Linked DNA regions of Rattus norvegicus. The main gene of each other region encodes a partner of the protein of the gene in region 2 in a complex. Links are inferred from orthologs where the notes say so. Each region holds a gene or a part of one and is shown on either strand. Other genes may lie near its edges.

Evidence for each region. Proteins that work in one complex are often made in the same cells at the same time.
Region 1: Eif3f (region 2) and Eif3d share a complex: the UniProt entries of both Homo sapiens proteins name them as parts of the eukaryotic translation initiation factor 3 (eIF-3) complex. The link is inferred for Rattus norvegicus from reciprocal best matches to the Homo sapiens genes EIF3F and EIF3D.
Region 3: Eif3f (region 2) and Eif3g share a complex: the UniProt entries of both Homo sapiens proteins name them as parts of the eukaryotic translation initiation factor 3 (eIF-3) complex. The link is inferred for Rattus norvegicus from reciprocal best matches to the Homo sapiens genes EIF3F and EIF3G.

The regions. Positions count from the first base shown.
Region 1 is NC_086025.1:111,427,523-111,437,723, forward strand, and holds the start of Eif3d (eukaryotic translation initiation factor 3 subunit D), read right to left. Parts: upstream 5,219-10,201; 5' UTR 5,140-5,218; exon of another isoform or gene 4,920-5,139; intron 2,963-4,919; 5' UTR 2,953-2,962; coding exon 2,830-2,952; intron 2,469-2,829; coding exon 2,423-2,468; intron 1,715-2,422; coding exon 1,578-1,714; intron 1,061-1,577; coding exon 975-1,060; intron 479-974; coding exon 406-478; intron 1-405. UniProt on the Homo sapiens protein: mRNA cap-binding component of the eukaryotic translation initiation factor 3 (eIF-3) complex, a complex required for several steps in the initiation of protein synthesis of a specialized repertoire of mRNAs.
Region 2 is NC_086019.1:172,364,463-172,374,802, reverse strand, and holds the start of Eif3f (eukaryotic translation initiation factor 3 subunit F), read right to left. Parts: upstream 5,742-10,340; 5' UTR 5,718-5,741; coding exon 5,342-5,717; intron 409-5,341; coding exon 338-408; intron 122-337; coding exon 42-121; intron 1-41. UniProt on the Homo sapiens protein: Component of the eukaryotic translation initiation factor 3 (eIF-3) complex, which is required for several steps in the initiation of protein synthesis.
Region 3 is NC_086026.1:27,704,729-27,714,990, reverse strand, and holds Eif3g (eukaryotic translation initiation factor 3 subunit G), read left to right. Parts: upstream 1-5,044; 5' UTR 5,045-5,054; coding exon 5,055-5,074; intron 5,075-5,193; coding exon 5,194-5,240; intron 5,241-5,433; coding exon 5,434-5,517; intron 5,518-5,626; coding exon 5,627-5,715; intron 5,716-5,856; coding exon 5,857-5,916; intron 5,917-7,329; coding exon 7,330-7,434; intron 7,435-7,526; coding exon 7,527-7,716; intron 7,717-8,222; coding exon 8,223-8,330; intron 8,331-8,458; coding exon 8,459-8,595; intron 8,596-8,685; coding exon 8,686-8,792; intron 8,793-8,987; coding exon 8,988-9,003; 3' UTR 9,004-9,077; downstream 9,078-10,262. UniProt on the Homo sapiens protein: RNA-binding component of the eukaryotic translation initiation factor 3 (eIF-3) complex, which is required for several steps in the initiation of protein synthesis.

The DNA of each region.
Region 1 (10,201 bases), on a different chromosome or scaffold from region 2:
GGGCTAAAGTCCACGAGCAGACTCACATAAGATACATGCAGATAAGATACATGATCTCTGAGGGTGCTTGGAACCAATCCTTAACAGACACGAAGAAAACATGAAAAGATTGCACCAACACAGGCTGCGATAGGGACAGATCTTAAAAGTGGCACACTAAATAAAGGGCACAAATTATGATTCCATTTTACATGAAGTGCCCCCATCAGGGAAATCTGGAGATAGCAAAGAGCAGCGTTGTCTAGGACTGGGATCATAGAAACCTTCCGCCACAAGGTTTCTTTATACAAGTCAGTGAATAGTGAATGAGAGACCATGCAACTGTACACGGTGACTCCTATCTCTACACATAAAAGAAAACAAACCCATCCAATTCCCAACAGAGTCCCAGTATGGACACACTACCTGTGACTTCTGGTCCCATTTTTGCCTCACTCCAAATTGCTTCTGGAATTTTTTCTGTAAGCGAATTCGTTCTCTGAAAAGACAGACAGAATGCTGTGCTTTTAGTGTCGGCTTCAGGCTGAACTGCAGTTTCCTTTCTAGCTGCTACCAGGATAGAAAACCGGGGCTTAGGTGCAGAGACCCTGTAGGCACACACTGGGGATGTGAGCAGAGGCATACTACTAGTACCGACCAGTACTCAGCCCAGTTACTATCAAGGCAGCCCTGGCTAGGGTGTGGTGGCTGCTGTGCTCAACCCTAAGGGCCCAAAGGATAGAGAATAAACAATGCTTCCTGGAACCAGGTACGCTGAATCTAGAGGCCACAGAGCCACTTCAATTTTACCTACAGCTTTACAGCATAAATGCCCGCCTCAACCACTTACTTCCTGCCCGTCTGGCATGACCTAGTCTTGGATGGCGATAGGCTAGGAGGTTTTGGTTTCTTTTGTCAATCTTGTCCTGGCTCTGTGATTTCTGAACACAGCCCATACGGGAACAGGACTTTGACCTGGAGGAAGGGATGCTCACCTCTCTTTCTGCTTGGCACTTTTGGGCAGTGTCTGTAGGTTGAACTGCACCATGTTCCGCCGGTCTTTGTCTCTGCGGAGGTTCCGCTGCAGAGCAGAGAGAGACCCATGTTAACTCCTTGGAGACAAGGCTTATGATCTCTTGAGAGTAAGTTTAGGGTGTGAAGTTCTAAGTTTTACGTCTCTTTACTTTTGCTCTGTAGCATCTACAGAATTTGGGCTAAGGGGATAAGTACTTGTGTTAGCTTGGACTCTCATTCCCACTTTAATGTGGGTTTACTAGTTTTATTGGAGTTGCTAATTTGCAACTTTATGTAGCAGGAGGCACCCTACCAAACCACCTAATTAACAAAGGCTGTATGGAGCAATTTAGCAAGGCAGTGGGTTCCCAGCCTTGTGTGATGTCTGAACTACTGTGAACAGAAACCTGAAATCCTTCAACACGTCCCTGGACCCACTCCAAGTTATTCTGATACAACTGGTTACTAAATGGCCACGTGGGATTGGCCAAAGTCCTGCAAGTCTTTCCTTTCTCATCAGTATCCCAAGATGGTTGCTGAGCAGCAGAAACTGCCACAGCAAGAGCTCTGAGGTGCAGGCCTACCTGTGCGAATCTCATCCGGTTCCGCTGGTAGGCCGTCTTCTGTGTACGCGCTGTGTCCACTAGCTGGAAGCTCGTCTCATCCTCCTCGTGGAAATATGCATACTGACTTCCCCCACCGAACTGAGAGGAATACTTGTCTGCAGGCAAAGGTGACAGTGTGTGCTAGGTGCTGCCTACAGACTGCTCAGGGCAGCTCTCTGAAGTGTGGTTCTGACCTGAAGCACTGGCCAGAAGCTTGTGAGATGGGTACTCAAAGCTCCTGCCCAGACCTGACAGATGGGAACCTGTATTTAGACATGATCTCAGGTGATTCACATGCATATTTAAGGTTTAAGAGCTTGGGGCTAAAGAACTTACCAAGAGAGCCCAAGATTCTCACTCTAACTCACTTTACCTCTGCGTGGTCACGTAAGAATCTGAGCTGTAACACCATCCCTGACCATCACCCAGAGCTGTGAACAGGGCCATTGATCATGACAGATTTTCTTTCTGATCTCATCCACCTTAACTTGGTACCTTAGGCAGCCACTTCCAAACATCTAACTGGCACCAAGAAAAGCATTTTCCCTTATCAGAACTTTAAAACAAGGCCCAAAGACTAGAGTCCATTGATTGATGGCTTCAGAAAGTCCCAAGCAATACAATGTAAATGGTAGCATTTAGGAGTCTCTGGCTGTCCAGGAACTGCTTTCAAAACCATGGGTTATGCACACATTCTAGAGTATACTCCCAATAACTACCACTACCATTTCCTTTTCTTTCTAAAATATTTTCAAGTGGGGCTTACGGAAAAAAGTAGTGACCTTCCCAAGGCCTAGGTGTGGGCAGCCCACTGAGGGACTTACTTGTGTACCTCTTGTCCTGGTACGTGGCCCCTGTCCAGTCTGCAACCTGTTAGGGACAGCAAAGACAAGGAAGAGGACAGGTTAGACGAGTAGGCTTCTGCTGACCCAGAAACTTCACACAGCAAGGGCGACAAAGGCCTCAGCATTGCCTCTGATGCTCTTCGTGCGGCTACCCCGCATCTGACTCATTCCTTCCTCAGCTGGTATCCCCATAGGAAGTATATCCATCAAGAGAACAGAAAGGGGTTGGGGATTTAGCTCAGTGGTAGAGCGCTTGCCTAACAAGTGCAAGGCCCTGGGTTCGGTCCCCAGCTCTGAAAAAAAGAAAAGAAAAGAAGAAAAAAAAAGAGAACAGAAAGGAAATGGGGAGTTGGGGAGTAGCTGCCCCAGCTGAAGAAACCCAATACCTTCCCCAGCCGATCTCCTTTGCTGAATGGCTGGTAGGGCATATCCCGAAACTGCTCAGGAACGGCACAGGGACCCCAGCCTGAGGGGTTGTCCTGGATCACAGGTGTCATAAACTTCGCCATCTTCTAAAACCTGTAAATATAAGCAGTGTGAGAAGCTTTAGAAGGAAGGGCTAAGTCCCAGGCACTCCACCCTCCCCTGAAGCTGCATTACAGAGGTGCACACGAGGCAGAGCCCTAGCTCTCAAGCACTATAGACAGGGTTTTCTTGTAAACTGGTCTAAGAACACTTAAAACTCATAACACTGCCAACAGTAGCAACATTTTCCTATGTCTCACTAATCTAGGACAGGTTCTTTTTTGGGGAACATCTTTGAAATGAAGCTGTGTGTGTACCTTATGCTTGATGGGTGTCACGTCTTTTCTTTCTCAGTATAACATATGAGAAAGGTGTCCCCAATTATCAAAGATGGTAAAACTGATGAGTTCCCCCAGAAACACCTTCACCAAAGCATCCAACAGCAAACTTCTCTAAGCTCAGTCTCTAAAACAGTCTATATCAGAGAGCCATCATCAATTTTGACAGTTGTCATCCGGCACAACTACCACTCAGCTATACAAAGGCACCAGCACGGGGTGCTTTAAAGATCCTCGGGCTGCTGAGAAGGTGCCGCAGGTCAAGGTGGAACCGAAGTGGAAGGCGAGAACTGACTCCCAAATGTGGCCTCTGACCTCCAGCTGAATGCCATGGCACGCACACGCTGGCATTCACACCACCAACCTCCCCACACGTGCATACTCGGCAACAAAGAAATCCTAAAAAACAAAGGACTAAAAACAAACAAACAAAACCACCCCCTGAACCTTTGGCTAGACCCGGTCCTTCCAATCTTCCATCAGCACAAATCCTGTACAGTGCATGCGACCAGGCAAAAGCACCATTGGTGACCAAGGTCAGGCTGGGTCAGTGAGAAGGCTCAGTGGGTAAAGGCTGCAAAAGTGGCTGTGTCAAAAGCCCATAAGCAGTAGCACCAGGACACTGTTCTGACTGCATACAGCACACGAACTTATTAACCCCTTCAGACAGTCCTGTGGGGTAAGTCCTGTTCCCATTTTCTGGGTGAAAACTTAAAGGTACAGTGAAATAAAAGTCACAGTGCTAGATGATTAGAAATTTGAACACTGGTAGTGTATCTTTGGCCCTGAAGTCCATATATAGTATAGTGTCCAACACTACGCTCATTTTAGAAAAGTAAAAGCTAACAGCTGTGTAATCCAGGGGTTTGCTGGACACTTCCCATCAAAAACCAAACCAAGGGGGGTGGGGGGCACAAAGAAACCCTCTGGCACTGTCCAGAGAAAAAGTCATCACACTACTTCTTGAAGGCTGGAGAGCAACTGCAGAACACCAGTAGAGAACTTAGTAACCTCTCCTCCTTCTCTAAATATTTAGGTGACAGGGACAAGGAATAAACCTGGGAGCTTCACTCTCCAAATATGAGCTTATGCTAGGCTGTAGGAAGAACACGGGGGTGGGGTGGCTGCCTTCAAACAGCTGACAGGAAGTAAGAGGCCCCAGGATATCGGGGTACTATACCGGACACTACCACCACTGCTCCCTCACACCCCATCTTTGAGACACAAAGTTAGCTCTGCTAACGAAAAGTTTCCAAGGTGGCCTACTTAAGTCCTTCTTCTGGCTATCCTGTAGTTAGCTGGCAGTCTGACCATCTGGGACTTTAAGCCATACTCAACAGGTTGCCTCAAAAGCAATTGTAAACTTGAGGTGTCACAAGTTCAAGATGGCTCAAGGCTTGACATGCATCATCTCCCCGGATGGGCAGGGTTTGGTCCTTTGGCGTCTGCACAAATGAACCAGAAAGAAACTGGTAGGGAAAAACTAAAACGACGCGACAGCTGTATTGGCCACAATGTGGTGTGGATCACTGTGGACACTACAGATGGAGCCATCAACTCCTGGGCTCTGTTTCGGACCAGAGCTGGAACCTACTCTTCTTAGTCGTCCATTTCGGAGCATAGAAAGAATCTGTTCGAACCCCTAGAGGAGGCTACTTCGCCCCCCAATCCACCTCAGCAAAGCGTCGGGAGAGGGATCCACACACAATGTCCGGTGTCTTGCACTCTGTGTCGTGCCTGGGACCACCTGAGGCCGAATCCCGCCCCGCCCAGCGGAGGGGCACCGACGACAGGAGAGGACGTAAAGGAAGGCTCTTCCGGGAGCCCCCGAAGTCATGCCTAGCCCAGGCTGGCTCGCGAGGTCTGCAGGGTCCTACCAAACAAGCCGCTCACCTGCAACGGCCTCCGCGGGCCCGGATGGCGACAGATAGCCCGGGTAAGAAACTGCGATAGCCTCGATACTCGCAGGGACCAAGACAGGAGGGAAGATGCGCGCGCAGGCCGGTGCCGTAAAACGCGACCAGCGCTGTCGTAAATGGCCCATCACGTCCTTCTAGTCAGCGGAAAAACGTCAAGCCGTAAAGCGAGACCCAACCGGAAGTCCGTCACAGCTCTTGGCTAAAAGTCCTACCTCGCCTCTGAGGTGCCAGACACAGTGAGGTGATTACGTCAGCGGCATCTGGGGACGCCCTGAGCGGTTCAGAACTGAAACGTGGTCACGCTCGGTTCGAGAGAAGCTGGGGCGGGGAGCCAGAGCTACCCGCGCGGTGTCCCACAATGCTTCGCGTCCGCCTCTGCCTCCCACAATTCCCCGACGTTCTCGCTTGCTCCAGTCTGGTTGTTGGTCTGGCTCAGCCTTACCTGGAGGGTGGCCCGGCGCGTTACTTGTGCTTGTTACCTGTGGCACGTACGCAGGGTGGCAAATGACCTGTGTAGTCCGGGTTGCTAGAGCTTCGGTGTTCCACAGATCTCAAGAGTCTTTCAACGGAGATTTCTGATTTTTTTTTTTAAAGCAGATTTAGAGTGTCTCGCTCTAAATTGATATTCAAGTCAGGGCTATCCAAGCTGCAGGCTAGGAGTCTGCGTGTTAATTGATTATCACGATTCACACGGTGCAGTTCAGTGCGACCTCTTGACTTCTAACACCCCCTGCAGCCAAAGAGTGCTAGGCAATTATGAAACCTGTAAAGAAACTCAGGATGGACTTTTATTTAAAGTTGGTTCCTTCTATCTGGCTGTCTAGGTCTCCTTGATAGTTTCCCAGCAGATCTTTTTTAGAAAATACATCTTAGACACATGTGGTGTCCAGGTTTAGGCAAGACTAGTTTTATGGCCTTCAGATCCCGCGGCCCCCCCCCCCGCCCCGCCCCCAGCCAATGCAAGCTGGAAATGCTAGATGCTAGATAATAAGGGGTAAAATAAATGGCTGTCAAAGGACATTCCACTTTCTAGTGCTGAAAATGGCAATGTGGATGGGGTTACCCATTTCATTAAATTACCAATGAGCTTGCCTTCCAGTTTTCCCAAGTTTTGTTCCCTGGTGAGTCCTGCTGGGTCCTCATCATTAACTTCCTTTCCCCACCACATTCTAGTCTGTATTGTAATTTCAGCCATATCTGAGTGCTGTCTTCCTCATAGGACCATCTCCTCTTGTTGTTCAATCATTCATACTCCCAGTGGGTCGCTCCTCAGCATGATCAAAGCTCTTCCCACACTTCCTAGGGAAGCTCAACGTGGAGCTGGACTAGCTTCCCATGGCCCAACATCCCTGCCTGTTTTGACCAGCTCCCTGCTATTCTGCACAACCTCTGCTCTGGCCACCATGACCTGCTCTCATTCCTCTCTCAGCAGGTCCTACACTTGCTGTTCTTTCTGCTCCGAGGGTGTACTGTCACTGCCTTGGTCCTGTCATGTATATGTCTTTAAGAGTTGGCGTCTAGACAGGTCTGGCAGCATGTTCTGGGATTCCCCCTACTCTGAAACTGAGGGGAGCATGACATCAGACAGGAGCTGGCAAAGTCGGAGGTTGTGAGAAAAGGCACTTGCTTTGAACACTGAGCCATCCTGCTGGCTCTAGATCAGTTGTTAAAAAGTTGAAGCAAGTTCTCACTGGGTCACCTGATCCTAAGCTCCCAACAGCTGAAAACGGGAGGGCAGCCTGGGCAGCCCTGAAGCTAGCTTGGGCTCTATAGCAAGGCCCCAGATGAACAGAAAGTCGAAATGCCCTAAAATATGAAGAGGCGCGTATCTTTGCTGAACTGTTCCCATCATGTCTTTCCCTCCTTTCTCCCTTCTTTTCGATGTGGCTCCCAGAGGCTAGCTGCTCTCCCCAATGCCCAGACAATAGGTGATTCTTCCCCTGAGTGTACGTGGCCTCATGGACTCAGGTGATGCTAGGTCATTTAAGGTTGCCAGAAGGAGTGGGGGTGGCCTCTATTCATCAGCTGTGTGGAAGTCGTCATCCATGTTGGGGTGAGGCCACTTTGGGGTTGCCCATGGTCTGTAAACAAGCCCAGCAAACTCATTGGTTCCTCAGGGTGGACTTTGGTGGATTTCAAATTTGTTTGTTATTGAGGCCTTGTAAGGAGGGGTACGTCCTCGTTTATGTCCCCCATGGAAGAATACCCACAACATGTGGTCACCCTGGGTTCTGCTATCTGTAATGTGTGAGCATGTGAGCCCAGACTCTTCTCCACAGGCTCATGTCTTGGCACTGTTTTGGGAGGCTGAGGAACCTTTCGGAGATGGCATCTATCTGCCTGGTGCACGTTGATCACCGAGGGTGAACCTTTGAAGGTCATATCCTCTTCTACCTCTAGCCGGCTCCCTCTGCCTTCAGGCCTTCCATCATGTGAACAGCCACTGCCCCTCTACTCCTGCCTTCACAGATGGGGCTACCCCACCACACCTCCTCACTGTGACAGACTCAGATCCCCTGAAACCAAGATCCTAAATCCTCTTTTCCTGTTGGTGTTTTGGTCACAGAATATATAAATTTAAACTGTGCAACAAACCATTCCAAAATTCAGCCACTAAAACAGCAGCAAGCCTATTTTGGTCTTTCAGTTCCTGTGGGTCGGGGCCTGGGAGCACTGGCTGATAGACTCTGGCCTCCGGTCTATGGTGCTGCCGGGTTAGAATCGATGGAGATGGAGTAGCTGGCAGATAATGGTTGCTTCCCTCTCTCCATTTGGTTATGAGTCTGCCTGGGTGCTGAGCCCACGTGGGTCTGGGCTTCCTCAACATGGTATCGTGGGGTGGTCAGACCACTTATGTGGGCACTGGTGACTTCTAAGCCAGAGGCCACATCACCTACCCTCTGCCATGTTGCCTCTGCAGTCTCTCAGCTCCTCAAGGTCAAAAGTGAGCCAAAAGCTTTTCTAGAGTCAAAAGAAAGCGATGAAGGTTGGCGCTGTGAAGGCAGTGTTAACTGTCGACTCGGCAAAATCTAGTCACCTGGGAGAAGGGCTTCAGCCATGCTGTGGTGGGCTGTCTGGATTATACTAATAGCTGTGGAAAGGCCTATCTTAATATGGAGTGGGGCTGTACCGACTGGATAAAACAGAGCACCAAACATTAGCATTGGTGCATTCCCTGGTCTCTTCTGATTGTAGATGGACTGTGTTCAGATCTTTCAAGCCCATGAGGCCTTGACTTCCCCTGCCATGATAGACTGTAACCTGAGTCTGTGAGCTAAAGTAAGCCCTCTCTCCCTGGAGTTACTTTTGCCAGAGTATTTTATCACAGGAAAAGAGACTAAGATGTCATGTTGGGTAAGGTACAAGTCTCTGGAGGGCAGGTAGAGCAGGAGGTGTTGCTTGGGGTTATAAAATATGGCTTTTCCTAAGAATCATCAGTCTGGTTTCTGCAAATGCATGACTGAGTGGTTTGGAACACAGTGGAGTTCCTCCCAGGGAAGAGCCTGGACTGGGACCAGGGCACATCCAGGGAGCCTCTTTAGAGAAAGCACGTGTTGTGGTTAGTACTGATGTCAGCTTGACAGGATCTAGAACCTCAGGGTGTTCTGGGTGTGTCTGTCGGGGACTTATCCGATAACTGAGGTGGGAGACACACTGTAAACGTGCATGGCACCCCCACCCTCACCCTCACCCCCACCCTCACCTGGAGACCTTAGTGTCAATGAAAGGGAGAAGTGAGCAGAATATCACCATACATTTCTCTCTGCTTTCCAGTTCTGGATGCAGTGTTCAAGCTGCCTCAAACTCTTGCCATGAGGACTCCTCTACCCCGAGGTGAACTGCGCCCAGGAACTTCGAACCTTAAGTGGCTTTCATCAGGTATTTTATTACGGCAGTGGGAAAAGCAACCCAGTGTGCATGGAGGTGTCCCTCAGTTTCAGGGATGAAGAAGGGGATAGTCATGGAGCCATCTGCCATTGTCTAGGACCTGAGCTCCGATGGCTCTAGCATCACTGTTTCCTGGACAAGGCCACGACTCTGAAGGGGCCGGGGGCACATGCTGGTCTGTAGACAAACACTTCCTGGGATAAAGGTACTACTCAACTTAATCTCTCCTGCCAATCAGCCCCATGAGCCTGCAGAACCTCCTAGCTCTTTAGGTGTCATGGTATTTGGATTAGTCAGGGTGACAAAGTGTCTCAGCTGGCCTGTGGCTAGATTTTTTTCTTCATTACCGACAGATCTTGTACTTATGTGCCAGCCTTATTCGCTTGATTGAAAGGCTTGGCCTCCTATGCAGACAGGCCCCAGGTTCTACAGCAGGCTCACCAATGTGTCATGGGACAGCTGATGTGGGCAGCCCCACTTCTAGAGAGCCAACCCGCATCTCCTCTGCTCTTCTTAAAACACGGGGTAGGTTTTTCAATCAATGAGAAAACTGAGGCTCTAAGAGGAGCCAAGGTCAGCTAGTCAAGGTAATTTAGAAACTGACCCCAGGCCACTAGGACTGAGGTGTTACTCCTTTGCAGCATTAAAGTTCCCAGACTCTGAAGCTAGAGTTTTTCACAAGGCTGGGCAAGCATTTGGCTACACCCCTGAGGTGAAGTGGATGGATAGTGGTTAGAGTCTATGTCAAGTGTGACAAATTGTGAATGTTTATATATTTTGCTGAAGAAAGGACCCAAGACCTATGGAGTTCTTCATGGGACTCACTCAGAATTCATCAGCAATGAGGTCAGCCCACTGGAAAGTATTTTACCGTCAGAGAATTGAGAGCTCCAGGACTAGCTATTATGGCTCTGCAGGTTAAGGTGCTTGCTGCTTCGTTTGTTGAGTTCGATTCCCTGAGTCCACATGGTCACATGGTGGAAGGAGAGAACTGAGTCCTAACAAGTTGTCCTCTAACCTCCACGTGCATACTGCAACACACACACACACACACACACACACACACACCTTAAAAATGAGTTTTAATCTTTAAAGCAAATTGGACCACAAGGACTTCAGTGGAGACTGTTTCCCCCTCTCCTCCAGCC
Region 2 (10,340 bases):
TCAATGAGACTTTCCATCCACTCCCACCGTCCCCATCTTACCAGCCTAGGATGAGCTCATTTGGGGAGACTTTCTTATGCAATTCATACATATTCTTGGCAAATTCCATGTCAACAGCCACCTAAGGGGGAAGGCAGGAGAGGAGGTTAAGAAGCTAGAAGTATATGCTGACTAGGAAAAACTGTCAAGCCCACCATCTGAGGGGGCCCAATGTGGACAGGGAAAGCAGAGCTTCAGCTGCAGCTCTGGTTACAGACAGCACAGTGGGACCTTCGGGGAAGCCAGTAGTCAAATGGCTGTGATCTACAAAGGGGCCGCTTAAATCCACACAACTCACTTCATCTTCTGACTCATTGTGTGGCACTGAAAAGCAGTTGGTGACTTCTACCGAGTGCTTGTCAACAGTTCCTGGTAAAGAGAGAAGGGCCAGGTGTTACATAACCCCAAGACCCCAAAGCCCCTGACTACCCCCTCCCCACACCCCAGGGTCAGGGGCCTTTTGAACTAAAGATGAACAAGACCTCCTGGGCCTCATGTCTCCAGCAGCCAATGCCAGGATCACAGGCATGCTTCACCACACCTGGTTTATGTGGTGCTGGAGCTTCATGCACGATAGGCAAGTGCTCTGTTAACTGAGTTGTTTCTACAGCTCCTGCTTTTGGAGATGGCCTCAAAGCCAGCAAACATGAAGCCAACACATTAGCCCCAAGTTCCGCATCAACAGAACCAGTATTTCCCAGAGAACTCAAACTCAGGATCCCCAACCCTTCTTTCTATCACCAGACTGGATTAAGTGTCCCTTCTCAAGGTCTCCTTTGCCTGTTATTTTCCCACTACCAGCCCTTCCCCACAATTCTCTGTACTCTCCAGAGTAGTGGTTTTCAACCTTCCTAAAGCTGTGACCTTCATGTTGTGGTGACCCTTAATCATAAAGTTATTTTCATTGCTAATTCATAACTAATTTTGCTACTGTTATAAATGTAATCTAAATACACATGTTTTTTGATAATCTTAGGAGACTCCTGTGAAAGAGTCATTCCACCCCCACAGGGGTCCTTACCATAGACCCTTAACTCTCATACTAGTTCCTGGATCTCACTGAGCCATGGGTCCCAACCTCACTCTCTTCTGATGTCCTGGTACCTTCCCTTAAATTCTTTACTCCTACCCCTTCTAACATGTCTCTGCTAGTAGCTAGTGCTATGGTTTCATTTTCTGAACTGTGTTTGTGGTGGTTTGAATATGCTTGGCCCAGAGAGTGCTGCTATTAGGAAGTGTGGCCTTGCTGGACTAGGCGAGCCATTGTGGGGGTGGGGGGTGGGCTTTGAGACCTTCCTTCTAGCCACAAGGGAGGGAAGCCCAGTCTTCTCCTGGGTTCCCTTGAACAAGATGTAGAACTCTCGGCTCCTTCTCCAGTGCCATGCCCGCCTGGATGCTGCCGTGCTTCCCACCCTGATGATAATGGACTGAACCTCAGAACCAGTAAGTCAGCCCCAATGAAATGTTGTCCTTTCTAAGAGTAGCCTTGGTTATAGTGTCTGCTCACAGTAATGGAACCCTAAGACAGCGTTCTTAATCCACGGGCATACATTCTCTAACTACTCACCAACTTCTGACCGCTGTGACTGCTTCCCCCATTTCAGAGCCTCTTCTCCTAGGGCCCCCAGGACACCAGTCTGTTCTAGCTTTCTCCCTCCTCTTCCTAATCTGTTGGCTGCCCTGACACCTCGGTATTTCAGCACTGTTAGCATTCCTAGTTTTTGGTCTATGCTCCTTTTCTAGGTCAAGTCTTGACCCAGAAACATTTCAGTTCTTGTTTATGTGCCTAATCTCTTTTGCATCATTTATGCCTTTTTTTTCTAGCTACAAAGGCAGAGTCGAGTAGCTGTGACAGACTACACACAAAGCTGAAAATATTTCCTGACTTTTTTTTTTTTTTTTTTTTTTTAATAACACAGCTAACAATCCCTGTGGTAGGTGAGTTCATCTACCTCTTTATTTCAGTTACTTCTTATCTTCTGGTGGCTAGGACATACTTGCCCACACCTCTCTACATTTGCTTCTTCATACTTATTGCTAAATTTTGCCTTTCTTTCCCACTGATTAATTATGGGTTGCCCACAGAGGTCAGAGGACAATCTGCAGGAGGTTTTCTCCTTCCATCATGTGGGTTCTGGGAACTGAACTAAGGGCAGGCTTGTGACCTACCCTGCAGCCCTGCTTACTCAATCTGCTACTTGAAAAATCCATTGACACACTCAGTGGCACCTCAGAAGGAATATCTACCAGGACCAAGTCAAACTCTGTCTCTCCTTTCTTCTGTGCACAACTGCAGGTCTAGAACTCACCCACCCATCCTCTAATGCTGCACTTCTGATCACACCATGTCCCGTCATCTCTATTTCCCATCTTTCACTCTCCTACATCTCTCTCTGCCTCCGCTTCACAAGTGCGTCTGCTTTACCAGAATGCCCTCAATCTGCTGTCCAGGCCCAACTCAGGTCTACTACTCTCCACAAAGTAGCCATATTCTCTAATTTCTTCTGGTCTCAGCTTTGGAATGAGCACAAGGGCCTCATGCAGAGATGAGCATGGTGGAGTCTTCTTAGCCCCAAGGGCAGGTAGGTGTCCAAACCACCAAGGGCTGATGACGACCTCTTCAGACAGTAGAGTTGCCAAGGGCTTTATTTTTAAAATCTTGTTTCATTCTTAAATTAAAAAAATGTTTATTTCTCAATAGTGATACATTTTGGAACTACTACATAAAGTGAAAGCAAATACGTTTTTCAGCTTTCAATTTCCTGTCATGCTATTTTTTGAGATTCAGGGATTAAAAAAAAGCATTCCTGGGTATTCTCAGAGTTTTCAAAACTATGATATTTAGAACACACTTCTAGTAATCTTTATATCCTATAATTTGAATAGCTAAGGTTTTTATTTAAAGGATAAAGGACACTAGGCTTAGTAGTGCTAGTGCTTACAAAGAACTTTAACCTATGGGCATAGTCATTGAAAATTATTTAAAAGTCCTACAGCAACACGCAAGATTTTAAATCCAGGTCTTGCTCCTTTTGGAATCACATGTGGATACTGTCCATTTAAGGACTTACTTCACGTTGAAAATGTGTTACACCTTACCATGACCTTGCACATCTTGCTATGTACAACTCCTTCATAACCTTCTAAGTAGTTACATCTACGTTTCCACAGGTACCTGCAAGCAGAATGCTTATCCTGTGTACAGTAGTTACTTACAGGGACTGTGTTTCCATCTCGAGTTTAAGGTTACAGCAGAATTCCTTTGACTAATTTTAAATTCTAAGTACCTAACAACTCTATGACGCATGAAACTCAACGATGATTTCATTTAACCACACAAAATCTTTTACAAATTAAGAACCAAGAAAGTCTAAGCTTCTACCAAGCACATACTGCTTCATTTGTTTTTCTACCAGTAACTGTTCTGTAACAGTGGGAGCAGTGAGTGGGTCTCAGCCTGATAGAGAACCATACACTACAGCCGTCCTACGATAAAACAGGGTCAACATAAACCTTGGGTAGACATTTATTTCTTTAATTAAACAGCTCCAGAGACTGGAAATTAGATAGCAAATTCAAAGTATTTGTTATGTGGCAAGTCCCCGATACAAAATTCTTTTGTTACAGAAGCTCACAGTAGGGCAGTTACAGAATGCCAATATACGGTTAAAGGTTACAACTACAGAGACACTGAGATTAGAGTTCTGGACTGAAATAAAATGAAGAGCAGGAAAGATATGTGGCAAAGAAAATGCAAGTGTGTTCTGATAAAAAGACAAGGTATTAACTCTAAGTTCCTGTAAACGCCTACTCTGTCAAAGACAAGGGAATGTATGGTATGGTCTCCTATGTGACAGAGGATGACCAACAGTTGCTGTACCTGAGGTATGCCAGCCATTAACTACTTGCTATAATATTTCATTCTCACAAAAACTGTCTGCTGGGGCTGGAGAGATGGCTCAGTGGTGGAAAGCACTGGCTGCTCTTCCAGAGGACCTGGGTTCAATTCCCAACACCCACATGGTGGCTCGTAACTGTCTGTAGCTCCAGTTCTAGGGGATCTGGCACCTTTAGGCATACATGCAAGCAAAACACCAATGAACATAAAATAAAAATTTTAAAAAATGTCTGCTGCCCTTGGAAAACAAAACAAAAACAAGCAAAAACCTGCCTGCTAAACAAGGCTCTGACGGTGATTTGTCAGGGGACACAAAGCTAGTAACTGCTGGAGTGTGACTACAACCCCTGTCCTCCCTACAGTTCTTGGATCATCTTCTACGGTGCATGGCCTGCTAGAAGACCACCAGTAAGAGATGATGGGTACAACTAGAGTGGACTGCAATGTCTAAAAGCTGTCACCGAGGCAGAGAGGAAACAAGGCTGATAGGCTCAGAAGTCCCCAGAGAATGATATTCAACAGTGTTTAGTGCTTTTCAAGTTTACAAGCTACTTAAACATAAACCACTTCCCCAAATCTGTAATACAGGCAAAGAAAAGATTACTCTTCATCTTGAAGGTTAGCAATGATTGTAAACATGGAATCATGATTGTAAACACAACAGTTTGTGTCCAAATGGAAATCAAAGGAGAGTGAGAGGGAGGTAGTGTGTGTGTGTGTGTGCTCGAGTGTGCATGAGCAGGAACTTGGAGCTGAGCATATATAGGTCCCCCCATCTTTATTAAATTGGGTATTTCTTATTTACATTTCAAATGTTATTCCCTTTCCTGGTTTCCAGGTCAATATCCCCCTAATGCATATATAGGATTTTCTCTAGGAACCAGTATGTGAGAAGACCTTGGGACAAGCGTTTGTCTGAAAAGTTCAGGAAAACAAGCTATATATCCAGAATATGTTTCGAAATAACCTGTTTTTTTTGGTGAACTGGAGGAAGCTTTTGACACATCCTCTTCCCTAACGTGGGTGGTGGGTACGATCTGTGTGTGTTGGGGTGGCGGTAGGTCAGTGGATAAGAGGGAAATGTGGGTTCTGTGTTTAAACAGGTCAAGGGCTTTGAATTTGCTGGCATTTGGGCCTTCGTTTTTGGCAGCATGCCCTCTCTTTATCTCACTCTTGGGAATATAAAATAATATGTAGCTCAATTATCGCAAACTATGCAATCGCTCATACGTATTCCTTGCACATGCCTGTGGCTTAACTGAAATTCGGCAGGATTCAAATCATTTGGGAAGGCAAGCCACAGCAAGAAGGTGCAACAAGATAAACAGGATAAGAATTCAAGGACGATGAACGAGAATAGGAGGAAGATGGACTGAAGAAAATATTAATTTCTCCAGAACTTACCCAGCAGGGTTCCGATAACTCGGGCAGCTCCCTCGTTGCGGCGTTCATAGCTGTCCACGATCGAGGCCAAAATGACTGGATGTAGCCTGACCACGCGGCCGCCAGGAAAAGGCCCCGGGAGGGCCGGCCCGGGCTGCGAGGGCGCCGGCGTCTGCGCAGGGGCTGGCGTGGAGGTTGAGGTCTGGCCCGGAGCTGCAGGCGTAGCTACAGCAGGATCAGACGAGACGGGAGCCGGTGCCGCAGCGGGAGTCGCAGCCTGTGCTGGAGCTGGCGTGGGTGGGGTCGGGGCTGAAGCCGGGGCTGAGGTGACGGCCGGCGCCGGGGCTGCGGCTGCAGTGGCGGGAGGGACACTAGCCGGTACGGCTGGGGATGCCATCTTGCCGAGAAAGAGAGAGGCTAGAACGGAAGGGCGTGAGTTGGTAGTATTAGAACCTTGATTGGCTAAATTTGTACCACGTGACCCATATCTTGCTCACTATTGGGCATTGGAATTTCCGGCTGGTTGTAAAGTTTAGTGATCTGTGTGCGCTTTAATTTCTGTCCGATGCGCACTCAGTATGTAGTAAGCTAAAGTAGTTCCTAGTAACTTTGGGACCTCCTGGGGGTGGGGAGGAAGCAACTAGCAATCTACACAATTGCCACCAGGTGGCGGCACAGAGTAGTGTAAAAGTCTCAATTCTTGTTTTAGGCTTAAATTGGATATTAAATATCAGTCTTAAAGGAGATTCATTGTTGCATCCATTTAACTTATTAGTCAATCAGTCAATTGAATTTTGGATTCATAATTTACTCCGCAGTCCACGCTGGCTGGAGCTCTCCTTATCTCTGCTTCCTGAATGCCCATGCATAGTGCTTTCTTTGTGATGGCTTCATAAGGTATCACTAGGAAGGCATATTCATTCAACAATTTAAATGTTTAGTATGCACCAGGCTCTTTTTTAGGTACTTGGGTATACAGGTGAACTAAACAACAAAGGGTTGCATTCTCTTGGGGGAAAGAAAAGGATAAAGTAAATCCTATGTTAGAAAATGCTATGATAGTAATCATCGTATTCCTTGCCGCCACCACCACCACCACCACCACCACCACCACCACCACCACCACCACCACCACCACCACCACCACCACCATCATCATTATTTAACCGTGCTATGAGAAAGAAATGATCAGTGGAGGTTATGAAGGCAGAAAAGTTGTGAAAGTTTAGGTTAGGTCACAGTGAAGGTATCAAGCTGGGGTGGAGACTTGAAGAAAGCAGGCAGCCAGCTATTATTTGCGGTTTTGGAGGGAGAGCCCTTCTGGTGGAGTGAACAGTTAGTGCAGAGGACTTAAAGTGAATGAGAGCAAGCCTAGTACATTTAAGGAAAGGATTTGGTGGCTAGATAGCATGATCAAAAGAAAGGATAGATCTGTAAGCAGGGGCAGGAACTGATTATTAAGATGCCTCTGCTGGAGCTGGAGAGATGGCTCAGTGGTTAAGAACACTGACTGCTCTTCCAAAGGTCCTGAGTTCAATTCCCAGCATCCACATGATGTCCCCTTCTGGTGTGTCTGAAGAGAGTGAGAATGTATTCATAGCCAGTGAATGAATGAATGAATAAGTAATAAACAAATCTTTAAAAAAAACCTTTATGCTATAAAAAATTTTGGCAGTGGAGGGATGGCTCTGAGAGAGAGAGAGAGAGAGAGAGAGAGAGAGAGAGAGAGAGAGAGAGAGCTATCCACGTACCCACGACTCTAGTTCCAGAGGAACCTATGCCCTCTTCTGACCTCTACAGGAATTGCACTCACGTGTACGTACATTCCTAATCATAGATACACGCATACACAATTAAGAAAATAAAAAAAAAGCATTTGTGATTATGAAAAATGAGTGTTTTATGATCTTCAGGCAGCAAGTATTGGTTCAATTCTGAGAGCCAGCAGACTCAAACCCTGTGAACCAATGTTTTAGTTTTATTCAGAAGACCAGAGGAAACTCATGATCCTTCTCAGAGTAAGAAGTATAGAGGTTCTTTTTACTTTCTTTCTTTCTTTTTTTTTGAGACAAGGTTTCTGTGTGTGGCCCTGACTGCCCTAGAACTCAGAGATCTGCTTGGCTCTGCCCCTCTGAATGCTGGGACTAAAGGCAAGTGCCACCACTGCCCAGCATTCTTTTTTTTAAAGTTTTTTTTAATGTGTGCTATATGCACAGGTGTGTGTGTGTGTGTGTGTGTGTGTGTGTGTGTGTGTGTGTGTACTCATGAGTGTGTGTATGAAGGCCAGACATGAAGGACATTGAGTGTCCTGCTCTATTCCCTAGAGACTGTGTCTCTCACTGAGCCTGGAGCTAGGCTGTCAGTCAGCAAACCCCAGTGATCCTTCCGTCTCACCATCTACAATGCTGGGGTGACAGGCTCACGAGCTAAGTCCTGACTTTTTATGTGGGTGCTGGGGATTCTAACTCAGGTCTTCATGCTTGCATAGCAAGTACTCTTAACCTGGCGAGGCTCTCCTCAGCTCCTTTGAGAAGTTTTCTTGTTGGCATAGATTCTTTGTCCTCAGATGGATATTCTCACCTATTCTTCTCTCTCTCTTTTTAAAGATTTATTTATTTTATGTAGATGAGTATACTGTCTTCATGCACACCAGAAGAGGGCATCAGATCCCATTACAGATGGTTGTGAGCCACCATGTGGTTGCTGGGAATTGAACTCAGGATTTAAGCACTGAGCTGTCTCTCCAGCCCCAACCTATTCCTCTTTTCAGTCCTCCCCCATTAGTATTTTTCCTTCCCCTAGTTTTCTTTCTGCTTTCATGTCATATATGTATGTGCATAATGTAGATTATGTTATATATAAAAATAAAATTCTAGGATCCTCAAATGAGGGAAACATGGTCCATCTAAATGGTAAGCAGAGACCTCCTTTTAAAAATTTTATTTATTTATTTATTACTTATTCACTTTACATCCTGCTCACTGCTCCTCCCAGTCACCCCCTCCTACAATCATTCCCTCATTTTTTCCCTCTTCTCCTCTGAGTGGCTGGGGGCCCCCTGGGAATGCCCCCACCCTGGCACTTCAAGTCTTTGCAAAGCTAGGCGCTTCCTCTCCCACTGAGGCCAGACCAGGCAGCCCAGCTAGAACACATCCCATGTACAGGCAGCAGCTGTCAGGATAGCTCCTGCTCCAATTGTTCAGGACCCACATGAAGACCAAGCTGCCCATCTGCTACACATGTGCAGGGAGGTCTAGGTCCAGCCCATGAATGTTCTTTGGTTGGTGGTTCAGTCTCTGAGAGCGACAAGGATCCAAGTTAGTTGCTTCTGTTGGTCTTCCTGTGGAGTTCCTATCCTCTTAGGAGCCTGCAATCCTTCCTCCTATTCTTCCATAAGAGTCCCCAAGCTCCATCCACTGTTTGACTGTAGGTGTGTGTATCTGTCTGGGTCAGCTGCTGGGTGGAGCCTCTCAGAGGACAGCCATGCTAGACTCCTGTCTGCTAGCATAACAGAGTATCATTAATAGTGTCAGGGATTGGTATTTGCCCATGGGATGGGAAGAGGAGATCTTTCTTATTCATGAGAGAACCAGGCCTTTCCTTTGTTCAGGCCTCATCTGGTGGGATAAGGGGCACAGTTGGCTTTTGTCAGCTACTGATTCAAATGATAGTCTCATCCCAAGGACAGTCTTACAGAAACTCTCAGTGATGTGTGGACAAAATTAGCCCTATCACATGTCACTTTCTAGTTGCTCTGGGAAGTGTGTTTGAAAAGTTATACCTGAAAAAAAAAAAAAACAAACCAAACCAAACCAGACCAGACCAGACCAGACCAGACCAGATCAGACCAAACCAAACCAAACCAAATCAAACCAAACCAAACCAGGATCTTCTCTACCAGGGAGTCATATGACGGTTGGCCTGTAGGCTATTTACCTAGCCCACCTCAAGGACTGAAAGGAAGCCTCTTGCAGTCTCTTTGTCTCTGTCTCAGTCTGTCTTTCTGTCTGTCCATCTGTCTCTCTCCAGCTCTCTGCTCTTGCTTCTCCCTTCTGTTTTGTTTTCTGCTCAGTTTATGTGTTTTATGTCTCCCTCTATTTCTTCTCTCACTTTTTCTATTTGTATCCTTGACCCTGTCTTCCCCATGTTTATCTTCTTTTTTTGGATACTCAGTTTCTCTTGTCCTCACCTCTGTCTCTAGCCAGGGCAGGGTTAACATCATCTCATTTCTTGCCTCCGCCCCTCCAATTAGACTCAGTTCCTGTTTCTATAAATACTGAGGTGTTACTAAGAATCTCTGGCACAGTGACTTGGGCCTTGAGATCTGTCATCTGTACAGTAAGTAGCCTCGGCTCGTTGTTGTCTAGAAAGCCATGTCTCATTCTTTTGTTTTCTCATGTGGGCTTCTTGGTCTCGATCTCCGGTACTTTGGTTTTTAATTTCTAGCCTGAGCTTGCCTAAGGCTTTGAGCAAGTCAGATCCCATTCCTGATGTTTCCCCTGGACTCCGGAGTTCTCACAGAGCACTGTGACCTGGGGCTTGGGGAAAGGTGCACAGGTGAGAGGGCTGGCAGTGTTCACATCCTGGCTTCTCCTCTTTCCTGCTACCATCACAGCCAAGCTGTTTGGGAATTCTGTTAGCCATTCATCAGATAGACTAGAGCATCTGTCAGACATGCCCACAAGCATATTCATAACAGGAAACCCACACAACTGCCTCTCTGTCTAACAAACTTTCTCATTGAAAAGCTGATTTTCTTCCTTTTCTCAGGATCCTGATCCAGTCCCCGTTCTCAACCCCCACCTTTGGTATTTCTAGCCTGATGCCTCCTTTAGATGCTTTTTGTTGGCATTTAAAAATACCCCACCCTTTCCACGTGAGGGTAAAGACTGCTTGGGCCAGTGCTTCCTCACCTCTGCAGATTCCCTGCATTGTCTAGTTTCCTGAAGAACATTTCTACCACTTCTTTGCCTCCTAGATTTTTTTTTTCTGGGATGATCTATGACTTAGTTTTACCACA
Region 3 (10,262 bases), on a different chromosome or scaffold from region 2:
CATTTTCAACTTTTCGGGCAGCTGAATCTCTGTGTTTGAGGTCAGTCTTGTCTGAAGACTGAGTTCTAGAACAGCCAGGGCTACTCAGGGAGGTCTGATCTCTAAAAACAAACAACTCTGAGATAGTCTCACAGCTCAGGCTGGCCTTGAACTTCTACCCACTCCTGCCCAGGCCATCTGTGTGGTTACAGATCAGGAACTAGCAGCCTGGTGGCCTCAAACTGGCAATGATCCTCCTGTCTCAGACTTTCTTCCAGTGCTGAGGTTGCAGGTATGAACCACTGTTCCCAGCTGCATCTATACTGTCTGTTTCAAGGGATTCGTCCAGTATACAGCAAAGTGCTGGGCCAAACAGTGTCTGCAGCAGCTGCTGTTTCTCTTTAAGGTAAATACCTAGAAGTGGGTGGAATGCCACAGGATCTGAGATCCATCAAATCCCTGTGCATGCCGCAGAATTATATTCTGTCTTTGAGATCGAGTTTCCTAGAGCCCTGGCCATTCTCTGACTCTTTATGTAGCTGAGGCCAGCCTAGGCCTTTTGCCTCCACTTCTCAAGTACCAAGGTAACAGCCATGCCTCTCCACCCCCACCACACATACACACCCAGCCTCTAGAGGAGTTCAAAAGGCAGCCAGGCACGGAGGCAAAAACTCAAGCCTCAAATCTGCTACCTCGAGGGTAATGCATGGTGCCAAGATGAAGGTGAGTTTAAGCCACAGTGAAGGGAAAGGCATCAATGGTGGCGTGATGTTCAGATACGGTACAGGGACCATGAAGATGGCTCTGTGATTAACACAGTGCAGCTGAGCCTAATGGTGTGACTTAGATCCCTTGATCCCAAATGGTGGGAGACGAGAACCAATACCTGAAGTTATTCTCTGATCCCCACATAATCTCACACAATATTTAAAAATGTTTTAAAAATCTGTTTTAAGGGTCAGGCATGGAAGGTGCCCTTGACCTATACTCTGGAGGCAGAGGAGTGTGGATCATTGCTACGAGTTCAAGGCCAGCCCGGTCTACACAGTGATACCTTGCTTTCTTTTGTTTTTTAAAGCTTACTGAAGGACTGGACATGGAGGCTCATGCCTCTAATCCCAAACCTTGAGGAGCGGTTGGATTTCTGTGAGTTAGAGGCCAGCCTGGTCTAAAGAGCCAGTTCCCGGACAGCCAGGAGTTAGACTCTGTCTCCAAAACAAAACAGTCAAAAGCCAACCGTGCAAGCCATAGGTTGTAGTCAGTAGGCAGCACTCCTCCATGGCCTCTGCTTCACGCGCTAAGTTCCTGCCCTGACTTCAGTACAGGACTATAAACTGTAAGATAAAGCGAGCCCCTTTCTCCCTACGTGGCTTTCGGTCATGGTATTTATCACAGCGATAGAAACCTAAGACAGCACGCCCAGTATGCACTGGGGCTCCAGTGTTTGCCGTCATTCAAACACTGGGGAGGTAGAGGCAGGAGGATTGGTAGCTTGAAGTCATCCTCAGCTACCTAGCGAGTTTGGGGCCAGCCAAAGCTACACAAGACTCTGCTCCCCAGAAAAAGAGCGACACCATTTATTTAGTGGGTTTTTACTGTGTAGTGCAAGCAGCCTTTGGAGGCTCACTGCTGCTACCTCAACTGATGACGGGCATATGCAGCCCCCCCCCTCCACTACACAGCCTTCTAACAGTCACACCTTTGCATACAATTTGTCATAAGTTGTACTACTAGGTTCCAAGGAAAAAAATCCTATTAGTGCTTTATTTTTGTAACCTTTAAAAACTGCCTGGCCAGTTTTCTTTTTATTTTGTTACAAACAGGGGATTGCTCTGTAACCCAGGCTGGCCTCAGTCTTGAGAGAACACTCCTGTCTCAGCCGGGTGTGTGGCCCCGTGGGTCACTTTCCTAAAAACCCGCTTTGCAGCTGGCATTCTTTCCTTGGTTCCCCAACCTCCTTCCTTCTCTGACTGACTGTTCTACTCTGCCCTCTAGTGGCTACTGAGAGAAGCTTTCTCACAAGAAAACACAGTAAGGTACCTCAGAAAATCTTAAAGTGACTTTGTTCTCCAGCGTGGAGGACAGAGACCTCAAACTAACTCTTTTTTTTTTTCTTTTTCTTTTTTTCGGAGCTGGGGACCGAACCCAGGGCCTTGCGTTTGCTAGGCAAGCGCTCTACCACTGAGCTAAATCCCCAACCCCTCAAACTAACTCTTTAGTCTGTTTGTCTGTTTGTCACTTGAGTCACGACTCCACTCTGTTTCATCATGCCCAGCTGAGTTCAAACTCTTAGATTTTCTGCCTCTACCTCCCTAGCATTGGAATTGACCATTTTGTTTATTGCATCCTTAGAGAGAATGACAGTAAATGCCAAATGTAAGTTGATTATCCAACCTGCTTTTACAGCCATACCACCCATCCTTAGATGGTGCCTGACCTCTTCTGATTCCATTACACTTTCGTGTTGGCGTTCTTGGTCCTGAGGGTCCACTGAAGAAAGAGAACCACTTGAGGATGAATTAAGGCCTTTCTGGGCGCAGGGAAATCCAGTCTCTATGGACTGAATCTTGAACATCCTCACAAGATTTCTTCAAGGTCTTAGTGCTTCTAGAAAACAGCTATTCACGCTGGTGTTTACCCTAGACGCCATGATTCTACAAGAACTTCACTCCAATTCAGTGTGTGAGAACACACCACGGCATACGTGTGGGCTCAGAGAACAACTTGCTAGAGTCAGTTCTCTCCTTCTCCCAGATGGGTCCTGGGGTTGAACTCACGGCAACAGGCTCATGGAAAGCACCTTCACCCACTGAGTCATTGGCCAGCCCAAGATACAAGTTCTAAGTGCCGGGAGTATTGGCCATTACACACGGAGCTTGGAATGGGTGTCCCTGGAGGCAGAGAATCTGTTATAGTCTTCATTTACTTGATAAGAGCTTCACATGGGAGATAGTTTAAGGTGGCAGGAATAGAACTTACGACATGCTTTTGCAGCTAAGGAGGTATTGGGACCTAGGTAAAATATTTTAAGGCCTAGATAAAATGTTAGGGCCTAGGTGACTGTTACCTGGGTAGCCTACCATTATAAGGAAACTTTCCCATGTCTCTGCTGTTACTAAGAAACTTTCTAATGCCGAGATTGATTACGTATTCTGTTATGCTCTGTGCCCTTGGAAATCAATCATGATAGAAGTCAGTAGAACGGTTTTGTATCATGACCCACAATAAGCCTGGACCCGAATCGGCCACCCAGCAGCACTTCCTGAACCATACATAAGTTTCTATGGCACTTGCCTTTGTAAGCTGCCCCTGGGATGGACCCCAACATAAGAGAGACACCTGCACCAGTGTAAGAAACTATTTGGAACAAGACTTCCATTTTGAGTAGGAGTTGAGTAAAGATTACATTCCCAAGACCTTCCTGGGAACTGACAACCTCAGAGAGCAAAAAGAGACATGAGCATGGATAACTGACATCCTGGTTGGCAAGTTTTTTTTTTAATTAAAAGATTTATTTATTTATTATATATAAGTACACTGCAGCTGTCTTCAGACACACCAGAAGAGGGCATCTGATATCATTACAGATGGTTGTGAGCCACCATGTGGTTGCTGGGATTTGAACTCAGGACCTCAGGAAGAGCAGTCAGCGCTCTTAACCACTGAGCCATCTCTCCAGCCCCCTGGCTGGCAAGTTAAGACTTGAATGTTAGACAAGGCAAGTCCCCTGCCACAGTTGAATACCCCAACCATTGGGAGCAGGGTAAGTGTACAACAAAGACATGATCCCAAGGAAATCTGCCTATCCCTAAATCCTGATTGGTGAAATAACTTGGCACAGATGTTTGTGGATTTGGGGCTTAACAACCCTGCAGGATCTTAGCTTGGGGTTCAGTCCCTGAATCTGGAGTGTGACCTTGGTCAACCAGTCCTGGGATGTACGCTAAATAAACTGTCCGTGTCTGTCAGAGATTGGTGTTCATGTGGTTTGTGAAGCGATTCATTGACCCCAACAGGAGGCCAAGACTGCGGGCCTGAGCTGCAGGACCCACATAGTGGAAGGAGAGGCCTCCTGCAAAGTGTCCCCTGACCTCCACACGTGTACTGTGCATAAGGGTTTGTGAGTGCACAAGCACGGTGTCTTCAAACACAGTACAAACACACACGCAAGTTTGCATGATAAAACCTAGCATGCGTCACAGAAAAGGAAGCACAGGAGACCAGGTGGTCTGAGTCTATATCTTCTTCAACAAACCAGAGTCCTGGTATCATCCAAACAACACAAATCAAGGGCATTCTTTTTTTTTTTTTTTTTTTTGGTTCTTTTTTTTTTTTTTTAAGGGCATTCTTGATACATGTGCTTTTCCCCCAGGCTTGTTGGTATAATGCCAGTTATTTGTCAATTGCTTGCATTCGGGAGTTCAGGGGCAAGCCTGGGGAACAAAGTAAGGGTTTTAGTTTTGGATACAGAGTCTCATGTAGCACAGGCTAGCCTGGAATCCAAAAAGTAGCTGAAATGGCCTTCAACTCATGATTTTCCAGCTTCCACCTCTAACACTGGGTGATAATTAAAACTAATTCTCCAAGAGGAGGGAGAGAACGAATCAGTTTCCAGTGTGGTGGTTTCATGTTCGTATTCCCGGCACTTGCTAGAATGAGGTGGAAAGATTCAAGGCTAGCTGGGGTACATACACCACAAGGTTCAGGACAGCCTCGTATTCAAGGCCACCCTGGGAATGATGTTCATGAGCGTTTTGGAGTTGAGACAGAAGGATTGTGGGGAGTTACTGATTATCCTAGCTATAGAGTGAGACACTGACATCTAGTTCCATCAGCCTAAAGAGGGAGTAAAAAGTTTAAAACGCTCTTAGAAGCTCTTTTCTAGACCCCCTTTCCAGGTTGGATGCCAGCGCTTTGCGGCACGCAAAACATGCATGTCCACATTTGTCCACAGGGAGGCGCTGTGGTCACCGCGGTCTGGCCGCTCTAGGCAGCGGCCACAGCACCGGAAGCCTCTTCTACACGGGCTTCCGGTCTTTACCCGGGCTGAGAGCTGCGTGGAGTAGGACTTCGAGATGCCGACTGGCGACTTTGAGTAAGTGTTCGGTGGCGGTGGGGGTCGCCAGAGAGGCCGAGTGGGGGCAGCTCTGGGGTGTATGGTGGTCCAGGTAGCGCGGGGCCCGGGACCCGCTCACCGATCTCCTGTCCCCGCAGCTCGAAGCCCAGCTGGGCCGACCAGGTGGAAGAGGAGGGAGAGGACGGTGAGTGCTTGTGCGCGGCCCCGCCCGCTGCGAGACCCGGATGCCCACGCACAGGCTAGGGCCGCTTGTGGCCAGTCCCACCCTCGCTTTGCGCTCTGCCCCTGGAGCGGTCCCCCACCCCAACCCCCGCCATTGGCTTGAAAGTTCCAGCGCTGTGGCTCACTTACCTTCCTCCCCGAATTCCCTCCGGCAGACAAGTGTGTCACCAGCGAGCTCCTGAAAGGAATCCCTCTGCCCACCGGTGACACCAGTCCAGAGCCGGAGTTACTTCCTGGAGGTGAGCACCGTCCATCCCTGCCTTCTTCTCCCTTCTCCCTTCCGATTCTCAAGCCTACTTTCCAGCCAGTCCCATTACCCAGGAGTTAGTTTCTGTGATCTTCCTCCAGACCCACTGCCACCTCCCAAGGAAGTCATCAATGGGAACATAAAGACGGTGACTGAGTACAAGGTAGAGGAAGATGGGAAGAAGTTCAAGGTAAGGGTGAGGTGGGCATATGTGGTCAGCGTGACTTGTTCAGGGGCTCTTAGATCGGTGGTGAAGAGTGTCAGTGTTGCTTTGGATGGCTGAGGCAGGCCTGAGACTCGGGAAGCACTCCTAACTCTTTCCCACCTTCAGATTGTCAGAACCTTCAGAATTGAGACCCGGAAGGCATCAAAGGCTGTGGCCAGGAGGAAGGTGAGAGTGTACTTATTTGGGGGATGGGGGTGTTCCCCAGGACTGACCAGAGGACTTAGGAAGCCCCTTTTTGTTGATGTAGAATAAAAGTTTAGTGTTAGGCCTTGAAAGTTTAGGACCCAGGAGTAGATGAAGTTAAGATTTTTTTTTCTTCTCCTTTTGTGCGCAGGTGTGCGCACTTTTGGTTTGAGATGGTCTCTTTATATTAGAAACTAGACTGGGCTTGCTGTTCCCACATAAGTACATGCCTCTGATCTCAGATCTTCATTGGGATCAACTCTGATGGGCACTTCTGTGACAAATACTGTACTGAGACATATCCAGCCCTCTTGGTTTTTCTGTTTGTAGTTTGTCTGTTTTTTCCAGACAGGGTTTCTCTGTAGCTCTAGCTGTTCTGAACTCTCTGTAGACCAGGCTGACCATGAACTCAGAGGTCCACCTGCCTTTACCCCAGACTTAGGATTTAAGGCACTGCCACCACTTCCTGGCTTGTTATTTTTGAGAGACTTTAGCTCTACAGTCTTCATTCAGAATGCTTCTGCCTCCCGAGTCCCCACTTAGATTCTTCCTCCTTTGTCTACATGAAGAAGCGAGCAGCCTCTACTTACCAAGGGGGCAAGGGCGTCTAGCCGGGGCAGCACTGCCTGAGAGCAAGCACCCCTCCCCCCCAAGTCATCTAGCTCGACATGGCTTCTCAATCCCCACGCCAGTTTAGGGAGGCAGGGGGCTTTGTGGCCCCCATGTTACAGGAAGGAAATGAACCTCAGGTCTAACTAGCTCAAGGTTCCTAAGATCTGGGGATTCCTCCTTCATTCCTGATGGGAGCTGGGCTACTGACCTGCCCAGAAACTGCAGTGGCACAGTTGAGCCCCATGCTCAACTTTTTGTGTGACTTTGGGATCAAGCTCAGGTTGTTACAAGTACAACAAGTAAACTGCACCTTTTCACACTGAGCTACGGCACCAGCACCTTTTCCTTTTCTTTTTTTTTTTTTTTTTTTTTTTTTTTTTTGGTTCTTTTTTTCGGAGCTGGGGACCGAACCCAGGGCCTTGCGCTTCCTAGGTAAGCGCTCTACCACTGAGCTAAGTCCCCAGCCCCCTTTTCCTTTTCTTATGTATTTATTCATTCATTTAGATGGGGCCTCATACAGCTCAAGCTGGTTTAGAGCTTGTGTCTCAGGATGGCCTGCAGCTCAGGATCCTCCTGTTTGCACCTGGCAGATGTTGGAGTGATGTCATGTGCCGCCATGTCTATCTTAGGAAGTGGGTATTGTCACTGTTACCACACGGAAGGCCTCTAGGGAAACTAGAACATAGGAGTCAAAGCCCCGGAATGGTTGTCTGTCTGGGGTGCTGCACTGTGGGATCCTTCCTGCCTTCATCCTCACCTCCCCATCTTTTCCTGGGAGCCCAGAATTGGAAGAAGTTTGGCAACTCAGAGTTTGACCCGCCAGGGCCCAATGTAGCCACTACCACAGTCAGTGATGACGTCTCCATGACATTCATCACTAGCAAAGAGGTGAGCAGGGTGAAACTGGAACCTGAGAAACGCAGAGGGAGTGGGGTGGGTAGGACATAGCAGCCCCTTCTGAGCCATCCCTTCCCCACCAGGACCTGAACTGCCAGGAGGAGGAGGACCCAATGAACAAGCTCAAGGGCCAGAAGATCGTGTCCTGCCGCATTTGCAAGGGCGACCATTGGACCACCCGCTGCCCCTACAAGGACACACTAGGACCCATGCAGAAGGAGCTGGCTGAGCAGCTGGGCCTGTCTACCGGGGAGAAGGAGAAATTGCCAGGAGGTGTGGGCATGGGGCGCCTGGGAGGGGCCTCAGCTGTTCCTTTTGTAGTGTACTGTTTTCTTTCCCTATATCACCTAGGGACAACTTTGGGCATGGTGGTCATTCTGATGCAAGTGTGACTGATGACTTACTCTAACTTGGGTGTGCGTGTGTATATGTATGTATGCACACATACATTCAGGTGACACCCACATATGTGCTGGGCTCAGTAGACCGAAATCTAACATGTCCTGTGGGGGTAACTGCCTTCTGTGACTTGATTCTTGCTATCATGGATGTGTTGCTGAGGGACATCCTATAGTCAGGCTGCTGCCAGCTGGTATTCTCTAGCTTGTAGGGAGGGCTCTGCAAGCCCGGATCACGTCTGCCCTGCTCACCTTGTCCATGTCGTGAGTAGAGACTCTGAAGGGTTGTAGCTTCCTGGATATGATGTGGGTCACCAAAGGGTGGCTGGACGCCTGTCCCCAGGGGTGGGCTGAATATCACTTTTGTCTGCTGCTTTCCAGAACTGGAGCCTGTGCAGGCCGCCCAGAACAAGACAGGGAAGTATGTGCCTCCTAGTCTCCGGGACGGGGCAAGCCGCCGTGGGGAGTCTATGCAGCCAAACCGCAGAGGTGAGGAGGGTAGGAAAACCCAGGGAGCAGGTGGTACCTAGACACCCTGTAATTAGTCCTGCGTTGTGGGCGTGGGTCTGACTACGGCATCCTCCTCACGGCTACCTCTCCCTGCCCTGCCCACAAAGCTGATGACAATGCCACCATCCGTGTCACTAATCTGTCTGAGGACACTCGTGAGACTGACTTACAGGAACTCTTCCGGCCTTTTGGCTCCATCTCCCGAATCTACTTGGCCAAGGACAAGACCACTGGGCAGTCCAAGGTGGGTGAACGGGGCTGAGGGATGGGTAACTGGAGAGTAGGCATCCCCTGACCCACTTCTCACCACCTCCATGTCTGCCTCGGCCCACAGGGTTTTGCCTTTATCAGCTTTCACCGCCGGGAGGATGCTGCGCGTGCCATTGCAGGGGTGTCTGGCTTTGGCTACGACCATCTTATCCTCAATGTCGAGTGGGCCAAGTAAGAACCCTTCTACCTTTCCCACATTCTCCCTGGCCCTGTTATGTGGTTGCCAGGTCTGTCTGAAGGAAGGTCCTTGCCAGGCATGAAGCTACTGGTCCCAAGCAGGCAAGGCCTGGGCTTCCCTGGTATGAGGTAACCTTCAGCATCACAGGTCCCCACCTGCATCCTGACCACCTCTCTTCCTCTTCCCAGGCCTTCAACGAATTAATAAGACATCTGCTGCCTGCTGCTGTTGTCCAGATCCTCAGGGACAGAAAGCTTCCAGTAAACAGACTCCAAATACACTGTGTCCTGCTCGTTTTCATGGGTCTCCCTGTGGGGGCGAAGCTGGCCCCTCCCTCAGCCTATGGGTTTTTTTTTTTTTCGGAGCTGGGGACCGAACCCAGGGCCTTGCGCTTGCTAGGCAAGCGCTCTACCACTGAGCTAAATCCCCAACCCCAGCCTATGGTTTTATTAAAGGACCTGCCCAGGTGGGAGGCAGCTGGCACTGGTGAGGCACCAGCCTTGAGGGTAACTGGAGGACCCTTGCTTAGGATCTGTTGTCACAACATGACATGGGTGGCAGCACATGCTGGGTACCACAGCCATGTAGAGCAAGGGGTACATGCATGCGGCCAGGGGCACAAGGATGTGTATTGTCAGCCAAAGAAGGGCCCCAGCTCCTGCTCAGCCTGCGCCTTATTGGAGAAATTGGGGCAGTGAGCCAACCAGCACATCTTGGCATCCACATGGAGCACTTGTGTGATGTGGTAGGGCGCATAGGAGCAGGCATGGAGAGCCACACCATTGGCCACCAGCACTACCACACGCAGCTTCTGGGCTGTGGTTGAGCCCTGGCACCACCAGCCCCAGGACACTGTCGGTCATTGGTGTGAACAGCAGAGGCAGGAAGCCACCCAGGCCTGCCAGGATCACACTGTAGGCTCTGAAGGCCTCTGGCTGTCCGTCCCCCATTTCTAGGTACTTGACAGAGGCATTGAGATTGTTGTTGCTGCTGCCCCACGTCTGTTGGGCTGTCTCTGGTAGGAGAAAGCGTGGGGGGCAGCACTCAGGATGGCCATGACCCAGCTGACAGCACCGATAGCCCAGGTGCTTGGGTTGCAGGTGACAGGTGTCTGTGTAAAGAAGGGGTGCACAACCACCTTGTATTGGCTGAAACCGAGGCAAGCAGAGGATGCTGCTGCTGAGCAGGTTGCAGGCCCATAGCCATCCCCAAGCTCCAGTTTTCAGGCGGGTGGCAGTAGGCAGCCAGAGAGGCAGTGTTCGTGCATAGAACATGTTGCTGACTGCTGGCTGCACAGAGAAGGCCTCTGTACTTGGGTGATAAACTTGCCCACTGTGGCCAAGAGGAGCTCTGCAATCAGGATGAGCCAGAGGAAGTCCTGAAGACGGATGTACTTGCCAGTAGCTCCCAAGTACTTCTGTGGGCTGGACAAGCTCCCTGTGAGCAGAGTACCTGACTGAGCC